Elephas maximus indicus: one gene and its partners. The protein of the gene in region 1 interacts with the protein of each later gene in a pairwise test. Links are inferred from orthologs where the notes say so. Each region holds a gene or a part of one and is shown in the gene's direction. Other genes may lie near its edges.

Region 1 (7,891 bases):
CTGAACTGCTGCAATCATTTTTGAATTATCTTCAGTAATATTTCACTTGCACGTGATATTAATGATATTATTTGGTAACGTCCTCATTCAGTTGGATCACCTTTCTTTGAAATGGGCACAAGTGTAGATCTCTTCCAGTCAGTTGGCCAGGTAGCTGTCTTCCAAATTTCTCCACGTAGATGAGTGAGTGCTTCTAGCACCGCATGTGTTTGCTGAAACATCTCAGTTGGTATCCCGTCAATTCCCGGGATACTTGTTTTTCACGAATGCCTTCAGTGCAGCTTGGACTTCTTCCTAAAGTACCCCTGGTTCCTGATCATATATAATTCAGAAGGTTTTCACTGGCTAATTCTTTTCGGAAGTAGACCACCAGTCCTTATTCCTAGTCTGTCTTAGTCTGGAAGCTTAGCTGAAACCTGTCTGCCATGGATGGCCCTGCTGGTATTTGAATACTGGTGGCACAGCTTCCAGCATCGCAGCAATACGCAAGCCCCCACAGTACGACAAACTGACAGACACCTGGGGGTTCTCAAACTTCTCTAAGGTTTGAGAAGCACTTAAAACTCTGTTCAGTTTAAAGAAAGATCATAGCCATGCAGTGGCCAAAGCTATGGTCAGTCTGAGCTCTGTGCAGAATATCCTTGTCATCCCAGATTGCCCGTTAATTTAGAAATAGAATTTTATCTCTTATGGGTAAAGATTATAACTATTTTTTCAAACTGTGCTCATATGATCAACAGTCTCAATTATCCAAAATATGGCCCAGACCCAAGAATCCTTGAAAAAAGACCCCAGGTGACAAGTATGGATGCCTTAGGTTCTACATCTCAGGGCTTCTGTGTTTTACTCATTGGAGAGATTACAATCCTAATAAATTTGATGCTATGTTTCACTGCCCAGAAAAGATTGGAAGCAACAAATTTAAACTAGAGCAAAGGGAAAGATATAGACTACAGGTCAGGGTGAGGTTTACATTGAGGACCAGAACAGCTCTAAAATTTTCACGGTTATTTCGTTTTACAAACCTCATTCACACCTCAAAAACAGTAACCCAAATCTTAGGGTGTGGGATTGGCTCTCAACCCTGGCTGTTCCCCAAGCCTTATCACGCAAAGATTCTAATTTAATTGGTTTGGGTTGGGGTCGAGGATCAGGTAGTTTATCAACACTTTCCAGGTGTTTCTAATAGGCAGCCAGGATTGCACTGGCCTAGTGGTTTAGGGCCAATCAGCGTAGGGGCCCAGAGGCAGGGACACCTTAGTAACCTCTACGTAGAGTCTTTACAGCTAGCTACAATCATTGAAATTGGTTAAGAGGACCTTAATTGCCAGGATTTTCTCTTAAGAGGAAAACAGTATATATTGGAAGTGATTTTAACATAACAAAAGATAACCGGGAACTAAATGATACAGAGATACCTATTCAATTCCTGCGTCATAGTTAAAGAACTCTAGAGAGCACTGATGGCATGAGACAGACACCCACCGCCACTTCCCCCTAATTGTTCCCCTAGACCAGCACTAAATGTGCCCACGACTCACTCAGGGATCTTGTTAAAACACAGATTATGACTCAGCAGGTCTGCAGTGGGCCTCAAGGCTCTGCAATTCTCATAAGCTCCAGGTGATGCTGATGTTGCTGGCAGTGGCGTCACTAGGATTGGTGTTACTCAGTGCAATTACTCATGGTGTCACCCCTGCATGGACCTCCTCCCATACCAGACCATACAGAATCCTTTGCAATGTTTTTGTACATAAATCATAATTTTGGTATATCACTCCTTTTCCTTTAATTACTACTTTCTTCTCAAAAGAGTTATTGATATAAGTTCACAAATACTAATTACCACAATATTGTAGCTAAAACATCAGAAAATTTGACAAAATCAGAGGCTATAAAAATACCAGCAGCAACGAAAACAAGTGTGTGCTTGTAGCACCTGTGGGCAAAACCATGTGATTGAAAGCATCATTGTAATTGAGTAATAATGGCGGCTCTGACCTGAGGGCATTAACAGGCTCAAAAGTAAATTAGCATAGAGTTTCAGCCTTGTAGGTATATTGATACCTGTAAGCTGGGTTTACAAAAAATGTTTTTGTTGTTGTAACTAACTACAGTGATATTTTTATAAAAAATAATAAATTTCTACTGGAACACTGACGAAAATTTTATGGAGAGTCATTTTGGTGCCGCCCCTTCTGATGGACAATGGTTGCTGGTCTAGGGAACACACTTAGAGGAACAAGGCTCTAGATAATACTATGGCCACGACTCACCCTCAGCATCCTTCTTTGGAACCCAAACAGGAAGGATGGCTTCCTCACTCCCGAAGAGTGAATTCCACTGAGGGCCTTAATGTCCACTCTGCTCATGACATTCCTGAACTAATATCATGAGCTTGTCCAGCTTTTGTCTATTCTCACTTCCCAATAGGCAACTTCATCATGGTTGAGTTGAAAATGGGTTTAGAGCATATCTAGCTTGGTCCATTCATTACAAAAGTATGGCCCAGACGGCAGAGGTTCTGCCAAGTTCACAGGTGGTAGTAGCAAAGTCAACACTGGGTCCAAGTCAAGACATGAGGGCATCAGTTAAGGATTCTGTCAATATGAGTCAAAATAACTGTTTTGGGTTATTTTCTTCACAGAACATCCACTTGATTATTCTCGGGGGAACCTCGCAGACCATTAAAGGACAAAGTTACCAAGGAATAGACTGAAAGCCCTAAGATGATGTAGATAACATGCTGGAGGCTCCCACACACACACACATTCCCAGTTCCCCAGGACTACACAATGGCTATTGTTTCCCCTCCTGTGGAATTTCCATGAAAAAGGCTCAAAGACGCCAGAGAAACCATTAACCTTCTGGGCCATCCTTATTTTACTTTTCATTTTTTGGAACCCATTCTCAAATAATTTTCTAAGTCCCGCACAGGAATAACATATACTTTTGCTTAATACTAAGACGCCCCAGTGTGAAACTGAAGAAATACATTGTCCTTCCAAAGGGTGGTGGAGGTGCGGGGAGGGAACCTCATTCCTGGAAGATTCGCAAGCTTATCCAGCCAAAAGGCCTCTGATTCTCCAAAAGCAGAGTGAGTGCTAATTAGAACAGCTGACCCAGTGAGTCCTGGGGCAAATGAGGTGACTGGGTCAGTAGCCACACTGGCTCCTGGATGCTCCTTAATTGCCACAAGAGTCCACGCCAGAGGTGCTGCTTAAGCTGGAACTTGCTATCATTTCTGACCTCAAAGCTCTGGACCAGGCTGCGACTTCCCCCATAGAGCCTGTTCCCACCATTTTCATCTCATCTCACTCCCAGTGGCTATTTAGTCAAGGACGGTCCACAGGGAATTCAGCCTGAAAGCCAGCAGTCTGAATATTAAATGCCAACACCACTATGGGCTTCACTTGGAAAGAGCTTTGTTAGGCTTTTGTCTTCTGTTGTGCTCCCGGTAAATCCAATCATATCGCTATTACCTCAGGCTACCTCAGCTCATTCTTGGGAATTAGGCTAGCTGGATACGCGGAGAAGCAAATACTCACCTTTGCTGTCAGGGGATCAGACATCAAACTCATTTTCACCTTTACGACATTTCAAAGGATCCCAAATTATTTTCTTGGTGCCCAGTCAGAAAGGAGTCCCTGGGCAGTGCAAATGACTACTAGCCGAAAGGTTGTGGTTCCAACCCACTCAGGGGGGCCTTGAAAGAAAGCCTGGTGATCTGCTTCTGAAAGGTCACCACCTTGAAAACCCTAAGGAAGGCTAAGGAAGGCAGTTCTAATCTGCACACACAGGGTGGCCATGAGTCAGAAATGACTTGGTGGCAATTTTTTTTTTTTTTAATCAGAAAGATGGGAGAGAACTGAAAGGCCAGGCACCCAACCGTGACCAGTCATGCTATTTCAGCAAAGAGGCTGGAAATGGTTTCACATTTTTTCCCTTGTCCTTTATGTTCTTAATTGTCTTAATGGGCATGTGTTACTCCAACATGAAGTGAAATTATTTTCCTTATTTGCTGTAACTTCCAGGGACAGTTTGATCACATAACCCAGGGACTTTTCAACTCCATTGATCTTGGGGCGGAGGGGTTTCTTTCCAAGCATTCATTTTGAGCTACGCTTTCTCTAATGAATTCAGAGCCTATAAAGGGAACGGCCCATGTTTCTTCATCACCTTGTTTCACAATAGCTATTAGACAACCACAGCATCATCAAAGCCGTGGAAAATGTGTGCCTGGGCGGAGGGGGCACTTCAAGAATTGCAGTGTTGCCAAGGACACAGATTCTGTGAGCCAGGGAAGCCGAGGCCTGGGTCAGGCCGCAGGGGCTTTCAGGCCCAGAAGAGTTGGAGGGCCACTGGCTCCAGGTGCCTGGGGTCAAGGGTAGCCTGCGAGTTCAGCAGAGGCCTGGAGCCCCCAGTCCAGGGTTGGCTTGACCAGCCACACGCAGTGGTTCCGGACAGTGGGGTCCTGACGCCACAACGGCGCCTCGCGACAGCAGAAAGGACCAGGGTCATAGAGCAAGGTACCCGGCCAGCAGTGGGGTGTGGGGGCTGGGCGGGACGGCTGGCTGGGAACTCCAGGAACCCCTGGGGCTGGGGCCTGGGCCTCAGGGCTGCCCCCGATCTTACTCGAGGGCACAGCCACGCCCGCGCCACTCCTCGCCGGCTCACCCCTTTCTCCCGCCACACCCTGCCCTTTTCCGCTCCGCCCCGCCCTCCGCCCCGCCCCACTCTCCGCCTCGCGCCCCGCCCTCCTCCCGCCCCGCCACCTGGGGGCGCTGTGCGAGGTCCGCTATAAATGCGTCGGGGCCGTGCATCCCTCCGATCAGCGAGTGGCGGCGAGTGGCGCCGTGCTTGTCCTCCTTGACTGCCCCAGGCTCCATGGCCCAGCAGCGGCGCTCCAGTGCGCAGTCGGTCTTGCACCCGGACCGCCTGTGGTTCTGGGAGAAGGCCGTGTATTTGGACGAGAACCAGCACGCCTGGCTGCCCATAATCATGGAGGTACAGCCCGCTTCAGGCAGAGGCAGGCAGGACTGTATGGGCGCTCGTTGCCTTCCCGGCGGGGCCCCCCGGAGCTGGAGATGCCCCAGGCTGGGCTGGGCCTTTGAGGAGCCCCGGTCCGGCAGCGAGGGTGGTGGCAGGAAGGCTTGGAAGGGGTCTGATTAACAAAGGGCAGCCCAGGCTTCGCAGATGAAACCACTTATAGAGCAGGGTTCTGAAGGATGAGTAGGAGTTCTCCAGGCCAGGAAGGAGGGTGGTGATTACTCAAAGGTATGGAGGCTAACGGATGAGGACCCAGTGGCTCTGGCATGTGTGAATATGATCTTGGTTAAGACAGGACTTCTCTGGGCTTCAGGTTCCAAAAAAAAACCCAAACCCGTTGCCGTGGAGTTGATTCCAACTCGTAGCGACCCTATAGGACGTGGTAGAACTGCCCCGTAGGGTTTCCAAGGAGCGGCTGGTGGATTTGAACTACCGACCTTTTGGTTAGTACCTGAGCTTTTAACCTCTCTGCCAAATGAGAATAATATCTCTCTAAAGTAAGGGAGTAAGTGACTCCTACGCCTGGCCGGTTATCAGACCCTCCTGGTGTGGGCCCCAGAAATACGTGTTTTAAAAAGTACCCTCAATAGATTGATTCGGCTAGTGGTTAAGAGCTCAGGCCGCTAACTAAAAGGTCGGCAGTTTGAATCCACCGTCCGCTCCTTGGAAACCCTGTGAGGGCAGTTCTACTCTGTCCTGTAGGGTCGATATGATTCAGAATCGACTTGATGGCAGTGGGTTTGGTTTTCTGGGGCTTAAGTTTGGGAACCACTCCCAGAGGATGGGGTGTTTTATACCTTCTCTATGCTTTGGAGGAAGCCGATTTAACGCGTAATACCTTACTAAAAAGGCTGGTGTGGAATAAACGTTGACTTTGTTTTACCCCTGATGCTTTACGATGGATCCTTAGCTAATGCGAATTTCTTCTTAAAGAAATATAACTCTTTTGCAAGTGCCTTCCACCAGAGCCTTGGTTTCCCCAAAGGTGAAAAATACTGAAAATTTTCCATATGTAGAGTGAAGAAAGTATAAAAGTGAATTAAAATATAGAGTAGAACATTCATGTAATATAGCAAACAGCAAAAAGTTATTGAGTGTTGACTCTGTCCCCACTTTACAGATGATGAAACTGAGGCATAAAAATGTAAACTTGTCCAAGGTAGCACAGATAGTAGGTAAAGGGGTTGGAATTCCAGGCTCTTAACCGCCTTCTAAACTTGGTATTAATTTATATTTTAATTTCAAAAGCATGCATATATATATATATATATATATATACTTTAAAAAATCAAGTTAAATATTTACTTTTTAATTCAAATATTTGAAGAAAATTTAGGTGAATGTATTTTTTTTTTTTTAATCTCTGGAGAATATCTTCTTGAACATGACACTGAAACCAAGAACTAGACAGAGTTTTCCACAAAATCAGTATAAATTCTGCATGGAAAGTAACCCAGTAGCAAACTGAAGAGGAGTAGAGTGAGATTTGCCACACATGACTAAAAGAACCACTATTCTTCATATATAAAGGTTTACTTAAATCAATAAGAAACACTAACAAGGCAAGAATAGTGATACCCACACTTACATCTTGCAGTGTGATCTGAATAATTTTTTAACAGTGAGCATTAGTTTCTTTCACAGAAAATAAGACTATTTCCACTTTGAAAAATTGTTCATTAAACAAATGTGAGTGCTAAGTATCATGTCAGGCAGGGTTCTAGGCTCTGGGGCACACATTAAATGTGATAAAATCTCAGTGCTTGTGAAGCTGACAGTCTGCTGGGAGAGATGGATAAAAAAATAGCTCTTAAGCTGGTGGTAAGTTCTGTAGGAGAATTAGAGTGGGGTGGGAGGAGACAGTGAGTGATGTGGGGGTCTTCAGGCAAGACCCCTCTGAGGGTCTTAATGTTCTTTTGCCCGTCGTTTTCTTTGTAAACTTTCTGAATCTCCATGTTGTAGGGATGCTCTTACATAGTCATAGAGTTGGATTTGCTGAGCTCATTCATTTTGATTGGTGAATTGAACTCATTGTCAGTTACTGATATAACTGATGAGTCTGGTCTCAGTTCTGCCATATTGTTTCCTATTATGTTTGTCTCTATATACATACATTTGAGCAGAAACCAAATCAAAACCAGACCTTTAGCCACTGCGTCGATTCTGACTTACGGCAACCCCACGTGCTACAGAGTAGAACTGCTCCGTAGGGTTTTCTTGGGCTGTAGTCTTTACGAAAGCATATCTCCAGGACTGTCTTCTGTGGTGCCACAGGGCGGGTTTGAACTGCCAACCTTTAGGTTAGTATTTGAGCACAAATCGTTTGCACCACCCAAGAACTTTTATACAGTTGAGCAGAGACCTGCCTAAAAGAAGGGTGTTACCCTGCCTAGATCTGGGGGAGAATGTTCCAGGCATAGAGGACAGCAGGTGCAAGGGATCCTGAGAGCAGACATGAGTGTGGCGTGTTCGAGAAATTGAGAGGGGGCCTGTGTGGCCAGGACAGGGTGGAGAGTGAAGGACAGAGCCACAAGAGAGGAGGGAGGCAGGGGCCCGGCAGTGTGGGTTTTTGTGTGGTGTGGTAAAGATTTCCACTCATTCTGCCTGGGACTGGGCCATCAGAGGGTGTTGAGCAGGGGAGTGGTGTGGTTTTTAGACGCTCACCCTGGCTGCTGTGCAGAGAACTGACCGTGGAGCACCAGGCGGTGACTTACAGAGCTACTGCGGTAGTTCAGATGAGAGGTGCTGGTGGTGAGAGTTAGAGGTGGTGGAAAGCAGCCTGCCACCAGATCCTAGGGTCCAGGGATATCTTATTTAAAAGAAGAAATATGACAAGATAAAG
Region 2 (7,817 bases), on another chromosome or scaffold:
TAAAATGTTCAAATATTATTTTGAATTGTGCCAGCTATTTATTGCCAGCCCCTCTGGGCCCTCTCCACTCCCAGATCAGCTCACTAGTACTAAAAGGGTCTTTGGTCTTCAGCTCCCAGCTACTCCCTGTGACTGCCTTCTAGTAGAACCACATGGGTTTTATTCTCAACTGACCAGCCTAGTTAATTTGGGGCAATGGGCACAAATGACCTTCCCAAGGAGCAGGTGTTGATGACCCCAGCTTTCAGGGGCCCTTGGTGTTCCCCCTTACTAGAACCCTTAGATCTGTTCTTTCCACCTTCTTTGTTTCTTCCAGGAACCCTATTTTCTGGAGCTGAACTACACAAATCTGTAGCTGCAATTATACTTAGTCAAGGAAGAGGGAAAGAAGGCTCTCAGCACAGACCTTCTATTTCACTAAAGCCAAACCAGTTTAAAATTAAAACCATCTACCAGAATGAACTGGATTTCCATATTCTCCTTTTTGCTTTCCTTCCCCCTGCACCCTAGAGCTATCCGTGTTCTAGCTAACTAGAAGGGAAGGAGATGAAAGCCTAGCAATAATTCCTTCCTCAACCCAGGTCCCTCTTTGAAGGCCACCCTCATTTCCTCAGGCCTCCTCTCCTCCCCTAGACTCACTCATCATCTTAGGCATTCCTCCATGGAGTCATCTTATGGGCTCAGATTCTAGATTCTCCTATTTTCCAGGTCCCTGCAGGCACTGCAGGGTCATAAGGAGAACAGCCCAGCTGGGGGCCAGCCTAATGTCAGAGACATTGCTTTAGGTGTACAAAGTAGTTCCTTAAAAAATTGCTTCTATCCTCTGTACAAGGGCAATGGAGGAAAAAAGCCTTTCTTTGAATGTGCCTGCCTGCCGGCCTCCCTGGCAGCCTGGGGGAGGGTTACAAGGCTCAGGATGCTGAACCATAGGAAAGAAATGTTCATAACCAGTGGCAATATGTTCCAGGCCAGGACTACTCCAGGAGTGCACGAGTGTGGGAATGAAACTGCTCAGAGTAGTTTTCTTCCACAGCTGTTTTAGGATTGCACATTCTAGACCAACCTTATCCAGTATTTTTTCTGTGTCTTAGCTTTTAAATTCTTTTGTTAAGCCCCCAAGCGAGAATTGGCCCTACAGGGATCCATGTGGCAGACACTAGATGCTCTTTGGCCAAGGCCTTGGTAATGACTCAGTCATCCCATTGCCTATCCCTTAGCCCTACCCCAGATAAGACCATGGCAGGGGAGGAAACTGAAGTCAAGACTAACCAACTTTATGTATTAAAGCTGTTATTTTTCCTCTGAGGGCATTTTGCATTAGATCTGGGCTATGTGCAGAACCAAAACTGGCTTTGAGAGTTACTGACTTAAATTTGGGGCCCAGACACTCTGGGAGAGAGGTTTGCATAGTATGCTATAAAGGTTTTGGGCCTACCTGGCTACTTCTGGGCCAGCCTGACTTCTTATGTCCACATTAGCACTACCTGAACCCCTCTGTTGAAAGCTAGCCCTACTCCCCTAAGCGGGTCAGATTTTCAGCCCCTGGGCTTAGGGAGAGAAAACTGTCTGCATGCTCTGGGGCAGTAAAGGAAGGCATACCTAAGAGGCCCTGAGACTGACTAGGAACCTCTGCCTCAGAGGATGTCCTTAGCATCCTCAGGCCCTGGAGTTGGGTATTGGCTTCTTTATCCAGCTTTTGTGGAAACTGCCTTTGATTTTATCACTAGAGAAGGAAAAGGAGGTATAGGACCCCAACCATCCAGCAAAGCAGATGTCCCCCAAAACAGGTTGGTTCCCAGCTACAGACCCTAGAAAGGTGAATCCAGCCCTTCTCCTCCTTACTGGTATTTCTTTCCTAATTCATTTGTTTTTATTTTTCCAAGAACCATAAACTCTCTGGCTATTTTCCATGTTCTCAGGGCCCCTGGGTAGACAGACACAGCTTGATGATTTTAGAGCAGACATAGGCCAAGAAACCATGGCATTGAGTGTGCTGAGTCCAGACAAATGATATTTATATACACATCCAAATTTGAAGAGAAATGTATTTCTTTAGGTTTCAAACACTGTAATAATAGATATAAAGCAAAAAATAAAAACCTGTTGCAAAGTTCTAAATCGTCTCTTTTGGTTTGGAGTGAACCTAGGCTGGATTATTTGGAGGTGAATGAGGAAAGGGTATTTAAACTTGTTAGTCTAATAGAAATAAAAATCGCTGCAGCCTGCTCCTGCTATAAAAGGTTTGTTTTGTTTTTTTTAACAACTTTATTGACGTATAATTGACATACAATAAACTACACCTATTTAAAGTGTACAATTTGATAATTTTTTATATACATGCACTCGTGAAACCATCACCACAATTAAGATAGTGAATATACCCGTCACCCCCATAAGTTTCACTGTGCCCCAGCACTAACCTGCATTCTATAGTCATTATAGATCAGTTCGCATTTTCTAGAGTTGCTATAAAGGATCTTGACATTGTTTCGAGTCTTACAAGCTAACTGAATATTGTCCCCATTTTGCCAGTGAAGAAATGTTCTCATAAAAGTTGAGGTCATACAGTTCACAAACTCCTCACTTCAGCTTAGAGCAATTCCTAACACAAATTAGACAAGAAGCCAACAATTTGATTTCGCCCAAAAGGAAGGTCTTATTTGGCTGATAGTGAGTTTTAAGTTTTAATTAGTTAACAACATTAAAAAATCAAGAAATAGCTGTCTTGAAAAACACTGAATATCTGGCATAACTGGGCCTAAGTTTCTGCTTGGCAACAATCTGCAAGGACCTCTCTACCGTAATCACTACCATACTAGTTGTCTCCCTGACTCATTGCCATATTTCTTTTATACCTGAGAAAGTGACTTTTTAAACCCATGTTTCTATTTTTCTTGTTCCGTGGTGCCTGCTCTATCTACTCTTATTACCCGTCTGGTCCCTGGAGGCCAGTGTTGACCTTTCTGCTATACCCTCCACCCCTCACTCCATTTAAGCCTGTTCTTATTTTCTTTTTCCTAGAACTTCAAGGCCTTATTGATAATGTAACCTCCTCAAGGGATTTCTAACATGCTTTTCCGGAAATGAGGCCTTCATTTCAAGAGACCTGGATTCCAAATCCTAGCTTCTCAGTTCCTTCATCACACAATTATACCGTATTGCCTCTCAGTGTTACCTGGTAAAGGCAAACCTTGATGTCTGGAGCCACTAAACAGAGCTCTCTGCCCTATGGTCTCCTTAACTTTTGGGGGAAATACTTAACATCTTAACAGCCCCCAAACAATGCTCAATTTGAACAACTTAAAACCATTCTCTGCCTTCACCAAGTGCTAGCCTTTGGGACAAGAGAATTTAGCTAACAATTCCCCACAGTATTCTTTGACTTGCAAGCAAATAGTATCAACACCTTGGTGATAACGCTGTAATAGAACTCTATCTAGACGTAGGGAGCTAGGACAGATTGCAGAGCATTGGGAAGGCTCTAAAGAGGCTTTTGAGCTGGGCCTCAAAAGAGGAAATAGGATCTGCAAAAACCTGAGAAATGCTGGAAAGAGTAAAAGTACAGTTGAAGCAAAAACGAGAGTGGGGATGGGGAGGATTGGCTGAAAACAGAAGAAGCCAAATCGTCTAGGCTTTCAGCTCCAGGCGCAAGGATTATTGGCCTTTATTCCATTATCTGTAGGTAGCAGGGATAACGAATTGTGATTCCATATTTGGAGAGAAGCTTGGGGTTCCCCCCCCCCAGCTTTAGCCCCAGTGCCACTGGGACTTTGTCAGTCTAGTCAGATGGTGTGATGAAGTGGCCTGCGTAGGGTTGGCCTGTCAGAGAAAAAGGCTTGGGAATCTTTGTCTGAGGCCAAGCTCTCCCTGCAGGGTGTCCTCAGCCCTTTCCAAAGAGACTAGTTGCCACACTGGTGATGGAAAAAAAAAAAATGTTGCTTTCGAGTCAACTCGGACTCATAGCGACCCTATAGGACACAGGAGAACTGCCGACTTTTTTGGTTAGCAGCTCTTAACCACTAGGCCACCAGGGTTTCCAACTGGTGATGAGGAGTGGGAAAAAAATAAGTCACCTCGACTCATCCTAAGGGAAAGCATGGCAGAGTAGTTAGTACGGTGGCCTGGTGCCAGACTTCCTGGTTTTGAATCCCTGCTCTAACCACTCTTTAGCAGTGTGACCTTAGACAAGTTATCTAACCTTTGCCTTACTGTTCTCATGAGGAAATGGGAAATAACAATAGTACTTGTCTCGATGAGTAGTTATGAGGATTAACCATATGGCAGGCACCCAATAACCTGTTATTGCTATTATTAAAAGCCTCCATTTGAAAAAAGGAAATTGAGGCCCAGAGAGAGAAAAGAATGCCCAGTCATACTACAAATCAGTGATGACGTCAGAACTGGAATACAGGTCTCTCGACTCAAGAATCCATCGCTCGTCGAGAGGCCTCAGAGTCCCCCAGATACTAAAAATAAGAGGCATAGAATTTCACAATGTGGGGTGAGAGGGTGGTGGCGTGCAGGAAAGAATAGCCAGGAGCAAAGCCTGGGTACTGAATCACAGCTTCTGAATGATAATGAGGTTACTCTAGGTATTTATGCATAGTAACTGGCTCCTTCCGGACCTACAGGGTACCCGGCTGCCAGAACGAAGCCCTTTCCCTTGCATCTTGGGAGTTGTGGACAGCTAGCCCCGATGCATGGAGGGACATGTAGTCCCTTCCCTCCCCCGCCTTCCCAATTACCCGCCTCAAAGGCCGCCATCGCCTCAGCTTTCCCAGCAAGCTTCGCGAGAGCGCGGGCTATTGATTGGCTGCGACGAGAGCGGGCCGCTCTGCCGAAAGCGGTTGCCCAGGGTTTCCGGTGCGCGGCCAGAGCGGGTGAAGCCGTCGGTACGTCGGCGGCGAGGTACGTGCTGCTGCAGCTAGCGGGACGAGACGATCAGGGTGCTCCCTGTATGCCTGGATACTTTCGGCAAGTGGGGGCAGTCGCGCCGATTTCGTGCGTGGGCTAGGGCGGGGAGGCGGGTTATGGCCTTGCGCATGCGCGCGCGCGGCTGGAGGGCGCGCGGGGCGTGGGTGGCTGCGCGCGCGCGCGCTCGCGGAGCCCACGTGAGTCCTAGGGGCGGGGGGGAGGGTTCGGGAATAGAGCATCCCGCCACGTCAGTCTTCGGCCCTGAGCCAATCCCGCGCTCGGCCTGTCGTGAGGGGGCCGTGTTGTGCCGGGAAGTGGCTTCGGCAGGAGGGAGGCCTCTGTCCTCGCCCGTTCTAGGAGTAGCGCCCCGAAAACCAGCCTGGGCACGCCAGGCTCCCCTGACCGGGCAGAGACCGGGAGAACCGTTAGCTCCCCCCGGTAGAGGCCAACCAGTTTGTTTTTGTTTTGAGAAGCTTTGTGCGCCTGGCATTGGGCGGCGAAGATTTTCGAAGTCTGGAAAATAGCAACTGTGTTTCTTTCTGAAGGATTTGCTCTTAATCTAGCCTTGCAAACCACAATGAAGAACCAAGACAAAAAGAATGGGGCTGCCAAGCCATCAGGCAACACTTCCAACCCAAAAAGCAACCCAGGGCAACCGGAAGCGGGACCAGAGGGAGCTCAGGGGCGGCCCAGCCAGGCTGCTCCTGCAACCGAAGCTGAAGATTCCACCACCCAGGCCCCGGGGAAGCCTGAGGGTGTGTGCCAGCTTTGCTTTTCCATCGGGCAGGGGGAGGAGTTTGTGGTACTCCTGCTTAGCTGCTGGAGTTTGAAGCCGAGGCCAGCAGTTTACCCAGGGAAGAGGAAATGTAGAATGAGAGGAGGACAGTGCAGAGTCTGTGTGATTCCCCACCCTTTCCGGGGGAGTTGATATAGCCTCCTGCTCCAAACACGAGCAGAACCCTCTTTAGAGAAGGCTGACAGGATTAAACCAGGTGGCAGTCAAATGAGAGGCCTGACTAGCAAATCCTCGTCCCTTTAGGAGACACTTCAGTCACCAGTGGGTAACTGCCATCCATACTTGAGGTGTTTCTGGAACTTGTTTAATAGTAAGGAACAGCTTTTGAGGGGAGGAGATTAGAAGTTGAGTTCATGCTAAGTGCTTAGTCCATGTTGAATGCTTTACATACCTTTATACTCACAGCAAACCTTATTGGGTGGTGGTGAGGGATAGTTACACCATTTATAGGGAAATGAACTGAGCTTTAAAGAGATTAGGCAATGTTTAACCCAACCCGGTGAGTCTGGCTGAGCCTGAAGAGCCCCAACCAGTGATATAACCATCTCATTTCTCACTGTGCACCTCATCCTATTCTGTTGTAGGGGCTCAAGCCAAAACTGCTCAGTCTGGGGCCCTCCGTGATGTGTCCGAGGAGCTGAGCCGCCAGCTGGAAGACATCTTGAGTACTTACTGTGTGGACAACAATCAGGGGGGCCCAGGTGAGGATGGGGCACAGAGTGAGCCCGCCGAACCTGAAGATGCAGAGAAGTCCCGGAGCTATGCTGCAAGGAATGGGGAGCCTGAGCCAGGGACCCCAGTAGTCAATGGTGAAAAGGAGACTTCCAAGGGGGAGCCAGGCACAGAGGAGATCCGGGCGAGTGACGAAGGCGGAGACCGAGACCACCGGAGGCCACAGGAGAAGAAGAAAGCCAAGGGGCTGGGTGAGCAGAGGATAGCTACTTAGTTTAACCAGAGCCAGCTGTGTGGGGCCACAACATAGAAATGTTCAGGTCATTCACTGCACAAGGGCACCTGGCTTCAGAAGCAAGTGGGGCTGAAATCTAGCCTGCTTGCTCTTTGAGAAAATGGAGAGCAGGAGACTTGGTGGGCTCCCGTGCCAGCCAGCACCACAGTGTGACCTTGGGCAAGTCCCTCCCCTGTCTGGGCCTTAGTTTCCAGTTCTTTTTAGTAAGAGAACTAGACTAGACCAGGATCAAAAGCTCAAATGTCCCCATAAACCAAGCTAACCAGGGGACCCATGTGGATCAAGAGAATGCCTGTTTCATCCAAAGGTTGACTGCCACCTGGTCCCAGCTAATTGATAGCAGCCAAAGCTGCAGGCTTACTGCAGCCAGTTTTTTTTTTTTTTTTTTAACTGTTGGCAACTAAAACACTAGGAGCCAAGCAAAACCCGTTTATGGGCTGGATTTGGCCTGTGTGCCAGTGACTTGCAGCCTGTACACCCAACTCTTGGAGACTCCCAAGACTGACACTCAGGAGCCTGGTGCTGTTCTGTGCAAGGTGGCCCCCAGGGAGGGAGCAGTGAACTCTCTGACTCAGGTGCAGGCAGCGGGGAAAGGTAGTGACTGACAGGCTATTAAAGGATCGAGGTTGGGTGATGTTATACCTGTGCCCTACTCCCTACTTTCCTACCCTCAGCTGTTGCCCTAATTTGAAGAGAGAGTATTTATTTTAAAAAATCTTAGACTTGAGAAACTAACTTTAGCTGTGAACTTTCATTTAAAGCACATACAAAAAAGAGATTTTCGAATCACGTATGTGGAAGATATACTCGTTTTATACTCATTCACTATTTGGCTACCTGTTGACAGGAAATTTTCAGTGCATTCTCAGGGAGGCCAGAGACTTAGCTTTCTTGGATCCTTCCTCTTTTGGAAAGGCCCTCCTTGCATTGAAACAGTAGCACTGAACTCCAAGGTGGGACACCTTTCATCTGGTGATAGAGCAGGCCATTTTTCTCTCCCACCGGTGGTGCCCACCAAGATTCCACAGGTGCCCAGTTGTTCAGCGGTTGAGCATGTGCCCTGTGACAGGCACTAGGGAGAGTCCTGGGGCCCTCACGAAGCATGTAGTCTAGCAGGGAAGGCAGCCAGTTTGACGAGCA
Region 3 (7,890 bases), on another chromosome or scaffold:
TTGTGAGCAGTTCTTAAAATTTTTTAAATTAAAAAATATTGGATGAGATGACTATATCTAGATAATATAAAATTTACTGTGAAATGTAAAAAAAAAAAAAAGAGAGAGAGAGAGATTTAACTTGGCCAAACTCTATCCTCTAGTAACAAACATACAAAAACATGAAAATGAACATTAAACTGGATTTTATTTGAGGGAAACATGATTTAGAGTTACATAAAGAAGTGATTGTTTTTACTTGTACAAGGCAAGGTTATGGAAGCTCCATAGATGCATCCAAACTCCCTGAAGGACTGAATTGCTGGGCTAAGCATTGTGGTGACCATAATCTCGGGGAACATCTAGATCAATTGGCATAACAGAGTTTATAAGGAAAAAGTTCTACATTCTACTTTGGTGAGTAGTGTCTGGGGCCTTAAAAGACTGTGATGGGCCATCTAGGGTACTCCACTGGTCTCACCCCTTGGGAGCAAGGGAGAATGAAGAAAACTAAAGATATAAGAGAAAGATTAGTCCAAAGGACTAATGAACCACATCTACTACGCCTCCACCAGACTGAGTCCAGTATAACTAGATGGTGCCCGGCTACCACCATTGACTACTCTGACAGGGACCACAAGAGAGGGTCCTGGGCAGAGCTGGAGAAAAATGTAGAACAAAATTCTAACTCAAAAAGAACAACCAGACTTACTGACCTGACAGAGACTGGAGAAACCCAGGGAGTATAGCCCCTGGACACCCTTTTAGCTCAGTAATGAAGTCACTCCTAAGGTTCACCCTGAAGTCAAAGGTTAGGCCCATAAGACAAAACGAGACTAAAGGGGCACAAAAGCCCAGAGGCAAAGACTAGAAGGCAGGAGGGGATAGGAAAATTGGTAATAGGGAACCCAAGGTCAAAAAGGGAGAGTGTTGACATATCGTGGTGTTGTTAACCAATGTCATAAAACAATATGTATATTATTTAATGAGAAACTAGTTTGTTCTGTGACCCTTCATCTAAAGCGCAATAAAAAAAAAAACTTTAAAAAATAGCATAATAAATATCAGTTACTGGAAAAACAATGAAAAAACTAAAAAAAAAAAAAAAAAAAGTGATTGTTTTTCACCAAAGTGTTGATCAATTGAAAACGAGTCAGACATTCCCGTGTATTTGTGGCCTGTTATGTAATAATCACCACAGCAAACACTTTAGAGAGGAACGAAGATTGTCTAGGTCTAGATTAGAAAACCCTGATCTAGTATCTTAGTCATTCCCATTTCCTCAGTTTTTTTGTGGGTGGGATTTGAAAAAACGTAGTTGATACAGAACTTCTACTTTCATAATATGCCCTCCAGATGGCTGAAATAAAATTTATTCCATCACCTTTAGGTTATCCAAGTTTCCTACAAAACACAACTGAAGGTGGGAATGGCACAAACAGGCGAGTACTTAAAATAGCTTGTTTGGGGACATAAATACTTATGTGTGTAAGTACATACGGTAGAATTCTGGTTTTTAAAAAATTAAAACATGGGTGTTACTAACAAGAGGTTGATTTTGTTGTTGTTAGTCGCCGCTGAGCTGGTCCGACTCATGGTGACCTTATATATAACAGAACAAAATGTTGCCTGGTCCTGTGCCATCTTCATGATCATTGGTATGTTTTAGTCCATTGTTGTGCCTTTTTAACAAGAGGCAGAAAAACATTAAAAAGTCTTTGGATGCTCTCTGGTGTTACTTTCTATCTTGTTCATCAAAATTTGCATTTAGGGAAGCCACAAATCCTGGTTCAGATGTCCATGGAGTTCTGGTTGGCATATCTTACCTTTAGCACTAGTAAAGAGTTATATTTCCAAGGACATTGAATTGACTTGTAGCTAAGCGATGTCTTTGAAAGGGTGTACATTTAAAAATACAGCAATATACACCTTTGAAAGAATTATAGAAGTATTTTTGGTAAAATCAATTTAATCTCTTTGATTGTACAGTCCTGGGAGATTAAGAAGATTGTTAAATTTATTTAAGCAATATTATATTTAATACAAAAATCATTGGTTTATATGATTAACATAAGGTGGATACTGAATCTCTGTATTGATGACTATGATTGGGGAAAAAACAAAACAAAACATAACCTCAAAGAAATTTGTAAAAATACAAAACCAAGCAAAATTCTATTATAACAGAGAAATTACAAATGGCTCTGCAGATGAAATTCATAGCCACTCTGCCACCAATAATCGCTTAACGAAGAAATATTTAATTAGTAAAAGGCCTTTGTCCGAATTTCAAGAGCACCTCCCTCCTTGCCCAATCACCACGTGCTCCCAGCTAACCTTTTATTTGTGTCCTAAACATGGTCCCTTCTCCTGGCCAAATGGATTATAATTTCAGCTCTTCTTTCCCTCCTTGCCTCACCTTATTTACCCACTCCCCATCTCCTTAGAACTCTGTGCCTTACTTGGTCCCTTGCCTTATAAAAAAAAAAAATTATAGCTACAGCTTTATTGACCACTTTTTCCATTTATAATATCTTCCCTTTCCACCATGCTTCTCATGTTCTTCCTTTAAAATGTAACTCAAAGCTGGCCTCTCCTTTGAGAAATATACCATTCTCTCCCGCTCCAAGTTGCTTTATTTATGTAAGCTTGTTGCAGTTTATTGACTTGAATTTGTTGATATGTTGCTTTGAAATAAGTGTCATTAATCCTTTTAGGTGTTTATACTGTATTTCTAAAAGGAGGTTATAGACTGTTATGGGCTGAATTGTATCCGCTTAAAACATATCTCAACTTGGCTAGGCCATGATTCCCAGTATTGTGTGATTGTCCACCATTTTGTCATCTGATGTGATTTTCCTTTGTGTTGTAAATCCTACCTCTATGATGTTAATGAAGCAGGATTAGAGGCACTTATGCTAATAAGGCAGGACTCAATCTACAAGATTAGGTTGTATCTTGAGTCAATCTCTTTTGAGATATAAAAGAGAGAAGCAAGGAGAGAGATGAGGGACTGCCTACCACCAAGAATGAAAAACCAGGACGGGAGCAAGTCCTTTGGAACCAGGGTCCCTGCACTGAGAAGCTCCTAGACCAGGGAAAGATTGATGACAAGGACCTTCCTCCAGAGCTGACACAGAAAGAAAGCCTTCCCCTGGAGCTGGCATCCTGAATTCAGACTTCTAGCCTCCTAGACTGTGAGAGAGTAAACTTCTGTTTGTTAAAGTCATCCACTTGTGGTATTTCTGTTATAGCAGCACTAGATAACTAAGACAGACTCTTTAAAAGAATGTCTTAAAATTCCAGCCACCACACTAGAACAGCGTTCATTCCGTAGAAAGGTACTGAATGAATTCTGTTGTCTGATTGGCCTGCTCTCGTTTCTGTCCCAGAAAGACCAGTACAACATGATTTGAACATTTTTTTTCTCCTTTAGAAGAATGGAAAAGTGAGGACAAATTGTAGCAATCTCCATTGTTCAATTGTTTATTTTAAATTGATACAGACTGTGCCAGGGTCACAGAAATTGTGTCCTCGAAGAGAGTTTGATGGTGAAGTCTAAACTATCCATATATTAATTCAAAAAATGAAACAAAATTGTTGAAGTTAATGTGAAATGAGATGTTTTGAGTTCATTGTTAGATCTCAGACAGGTTAGCCAGTGCTTCACTGGAATATCAAAGCCTACAGAAAAGCTCATGGTAAATTTGCAAAACACATAGAGACAGATGTGATGTAAACTTTAAACTCAAGCTACACTTTTACAATCGCTCCCACGAGTACGTGCGGATAATTAGAAAATCCATAAACATAGGAGATAGGATGGGGGGAGGTGGAAAGGGGTCTCAGGATAGCCTAAGATTCCAGGGTGGTGGGTTATTTTGTTTTTGGATACATCTGCGGGCTCGCTGATTAGATTCAGCACGCTGGCCAGCTCCCCCTTCCGCCGGGTTTATTGACCTTAGTGGAAGGCGCCGGGTGAAGGAAGGCACCATCTGCCGCTTTTTATTAATAGATAACCGGAGAAACAGGGATGAGGACAGCGCGACAGAGCCAGTGCATTAGACGCTGAAGCCTCTGAGTTCTCGGGGGGGATTTTGATCTCGGGGTCCCCACTCACCGCCTACATCCTCCAGCGAGCCAGAATGGAGGAAAGACTGAGCAATCTGCAACGCTTCCATTTCTCTGGCAGTCTCGCTCAGCAGAAAGCAATCTACTTCTCGGAGCTGAACGTTCCTCACAGTTTTGGGGGTTGGGAGAGTGCGGAGGGGGGTACTACTTCAATAGTTGAGCTGCATGGTTGATGCCCTAATCCACTCAAAATTTGGTACGTTTATTTTAATGGCAGTGGGCATCTCTAAATTGCTGTAATCAGAGTTTGGTGGGGCACACACACTGCCCAGCCCAGTGCCCCCACGCCCCAGGCGTTAAGAAGCCTGGGGATAGAGGATGAATCCTTTCTTTCCCGTGTGGAATCTCGAAGACTTCCTCTTAGTGAGACCTCTGAATTTAGCGTCTCCAAACAGTCCCCTCTTCACAGACAAGAACTCACCACTGGTTTCTCTATTTCTCCCTGCCCAAGAACTTTTTGTCTGCCGGAGGAGGAGAGGGGTCGAGACAATGAGAGATGGGGATCGTAAAAGAAATTATCCACAAAAACAAGGAGGGGACGGCGTTGGGTCAGTACCGAGGCCCTGAGGCACGCGCTGCGCTCTTCTCCCTCCAGCTCTCTGCAGCCGCCCTTTACGCTGCGGACACGGGAGAGTTAAGCCAATAAACACGTAAGCGCCGCTCCCTCCCCAATCGGCAAGATGCCTCTTCGGCTCTTGGCTGCATCGACAGCTTGCAACACTCGGCATCTTTTCTGGAGGCGCCTCCTTCAGAGGCTGCAGATGGCATCCGGCTGCGGGCTCCGGGCTCGCAATTAATTCTCCCCCTTGCCCATCTCGGGTCCACGGACGCACCTCTCCCTGCCCCTCCTCCCTTCGCGCTCCTGGGTCTGAGCCCAGCTCCCGGTCGCCGGGCGGAAGCAGCAGTCGCCGCGGCGAGGCTGAGCAGCAGCGCGCTCACTCCCTGATTTGGTGAGAGGCGACCACCCGGGAGAGCCGACCCCTAGCTGTCTCCAGCGCCCCCCACCTTTTGCACCCCAAGCCGGGGGCTGCAGGGGTCCCCCCACCTCAGGCGCCACCATGCTGGACCCTTCGTCCAGCGAAGAAGAGTCAGATGAGATCGTGGAAGAGGAGAGCGGCAAGGAGGTGCTCGGCTCGGCCGCGTCCGGCGCGCGCCTGTCTCCCAGCCGCACCAGCGAGGGCTCGGCCGGCGGCGCCGGGCTGGGGGGCAGCGGCGCCGGAGTGGGCGCGGGCGGCGGCGGGGGCAGCGGCCCGGGCAGCGGCGGGGCCGGGGGACTGCAGCCCAGCAGCCGCGCCGGCGGCGGCCGGCCCTCCAGCCCCAGCCCGTCGGTGGTGAGCGAGAAGGAGAAAGAGGAGTTGGAGCGGCTGCAGAAGGAGGAAGAGGAGAGGAAGAAGAGGCTGCAGCTCTATGTGTTCGTCATGCGCTGCATAGCCTACCCCTTCAACGCCAAGCAGCCCACCGACATGGCTCGCCGGCAGCAGAAGGTAGGTGTGCCGGGGAGGCCCCGGGAGCGGCGCCGGGACGTCGCCAGGTGGCGGGGCGAACAATGGGAGCTGGCGGCGCCGCGGGCACCCGGGAAAGGGGCTCCGAGACTCTCGCGCGGCCGGGCCCGGCCCAGCCCAGAGCGCGCCGGCAGCGGCCGAGAGCCGGACAGGGGCCTGGAGCCCAGCAGACGCACCCGGGCCTCCCTCCCCGAGCGTCGGGAACGCCACCGGCAGGTCCTGCCTGGCGGCCCGGAGGTCTGGGGCGTGAGGCCTGGCTCGCTCGCTGCGCTCCCAGCGCGCTCCGGCGCCAGGCGGTGTCCGCCCTCGGCTTGGGGCCCGCCCTTCTGGGCGTGCGCTCAGCGGGCGGGGCGCCGGCTGTGCGGGACGAGAGCGCCCGGAGCCGCGCTCGGCTCGGCGGGCGGAGAGCATCCGCGGACGGGCGGAGGGAGCGAGTCCGGGAGGCTGTGAGCACCCTCCTGTCCCGCCCGGCCGGCTGGCCCCCGACTGGCGTCGCCCAGGGGTGCCGGAGCGCGAGCCCCAGGCAGAGGTTTTCCCCTGTTCCTCCTCCGCCCGGGTGCCATGGCGCGCCGCGCCCTCTGATCCTTCCGCCCGGGTCAGCCCCTCCACCTGCCTCCCTTCGGCCCGCCACTCCTCGTCCCAAGGTGACTTCGCCGCTACCTTCTGGCTTGCCCAGGCCCTCCAGACCCGGCCCTGTTGGCTTGATAAAGTGCAGTTGCAAAAAGCCTCGCAATTACAAGCATCAAAAGCTTTTTTGTCTGAGGCTGGGGCAAGGCTGCGGCGGCTTGGACTGCCTTTGATAGGAAAAAAGCGCCGATTTCTCTCAGCGGCACTGTAGCCCGAGAAAGGCGAGGGTGGTTACTGCTGGGAGAGGTGCTGCGGCAGGGGTCCCAGGAGAAGGGGTCAGGTACTTGGTTGGAGAGAGTTAATGAGGAAAGTCAGCATTCTGCTCAGTCTCTTTTAAATGAATCTGCTGCACCTGAGCAAGCGGAAAAGCCACTCAAGCCCCCAGAGGGGCGGTGTGAGAAGGCAGCTCTAACCCCGCCAAGGTTGTGAGACCCGTTTCTTAAAATAGCGAATTTCTAGGTTGCTTCTAAGACGAAATTGTATGTTACTGTAGGGGAGTGTTGGGTTTTCCTATATTTATCCTCTTATCGCGAGTTAGCACAGATTTCTCTGTTTGTTTTGCATATCTATGTACATACACCGCCCAGCGCTGATGATTTATTTCAGCTATCACGAGCTTGGTTAATAGTTTTATTTAAAAAAATAAAACTCATTTCCTGGTTGAGAAACACCAGACGGGCTACACACCCCACACCCCCCCGCAATCACGGCCTTGCTCCCCACTACAGCCGCTTTGCTTTTTCAACCTATGTTTTGGACCGCAGAAAGCAAAAGTATCCTCAGAGCAGTGAAAGTTTTCTGGATATGCTTTCTTGAGCTTGGATGTTGGGTCCTTTGCACAGGACCCGGCATTTCAAGTTTCACTTGGAATTAGGGTAATTGGGAAATTCCATCTCCAAAATCTATCCCATTAATAGCTGCACCAACCAAAGATGTCCTATTCCTTTGGCAGAGAAAACTGTTGTCAGTTCCAAAAAGCAAAAACAAGAACGAAAGATACCCCTTGCCATTTATCGCTCGAAAGTCTCCAGAATTCTGGTCTTTAAATGCATGCTTAACCCAGGCACCAGGATGAGGGAAGGAGACTGTTCCCACAGAAAGCCGAGCTAAACAGAGCCTTCAAACACCTGAGAAAGATTATCACGAGGCCACAGTTTTCTAAGCTGATTGCGTGTTTCACCTGAATCCATTCAAAGCAGTGGTATTCCAGGGCTAGCTGGTTGTTTTTACACATGACCTTAACATCAGAGAGAGTCCAGAACTGACACTTGCTTTTGGTGGAACTATTTTTAGTTATTGCCGCAAAGTAGTCCTGGATTCATCTCGGCAAAGCCACAGCTACACTGGGGAGCTGAAAATATGTACACATGCACACATATGTATTTATACACACATATATGTATTTACCATTGTAATAAGATATATATGTCCGTTCCATATGTATGTCCATTCCTTCTTAAACTAAAGGTAAATAGGCTTTTCCGTTGCTGTGTATTTTTTTTAAGTTTTTAGTGCCTCCCTGAAAAAGGGTATTTTGGTAAGTGTATGTTTTTCCAAGTATAAAGCTTGGAACTTTGATAGAAAAAAAAAAAGTGACCACTGAAAGTAACTAAAAGGTTTGCATAATCATTGCAGTAAAATTTAACACCAA

What was found.
Region 2: the proteins of TCL1A (region 1) and TXLNA interact in binary tests that used the Homo sapiens proteins (3 or more experiments, as listed by UniProt). The two-hybrid records come from large-scale screens. The link is inferred for Elephas maximus indicus from reciprocal best matches to the Homo sapiens genes TCL1A and TXLNA.
Region 3: the proteins of TCL1A (region 1) and CADPS interact in a two-hybrid assay, tested with the Homo sapiens proteins (3 studies listed by BioGRID and IntAct). The two-hybrid records come from large-scale screens. The link is inferred for Elephas maximus indicus from reciprocal best matches to the Homo sapiens genes TCL1A and CADPS.

What each region holds. Positions count from the first base shown.
Region 1 is NC_064828.1:109,306,506-109,314,396, reverse strand, and holds the start of TCL1A (T-cell leukemia/lymphoma protein 1A), read left to right. Parts: upstream 1-4,887; coding exon 4,888-5,007; intron 5,008-7,891. UniProt on the Homo sapiens protein: Enhances the phosphorylation and activation of AKT1, AKT2 and AKT3. Promotes nuclear translocation of AKT1. Enhances cell proliferation, stabilizes mitochondrial membrane potential and promotes cell survival.
Region 2 is NC_064821.1:73,087,786-73,095,602, forward strand, and holds the start of TXLNA (alpha-taxilin), read left to right. Parts: upstream 1-4,802; 5' UTR 4,803-4,908; exon of another isoform or gene 4,909-4,974; intron 4,975-5,459; 5' UTR 5,460-5,491; coding exon 5,492-5,669; intron 5,670-6,294; coding exon 6,295-6,633; intron 6,634-7,817. UniProt on the Homo sapiens protein: May be involved in intracellular vesicle traffic and potentially in calcium-dependent exocytosis in neuroendocrine cells.
Region 3 is NC_064838.1:67,984,022-67,991,911, reverse strand, and holds the start of CADPS (calcium-dependent secretion activator 1), read left to right. Parts: upstream 1-4,875; 5' UTR 4,876-5,168; coding exon 5,169-5,594; intron 5,595-7,890.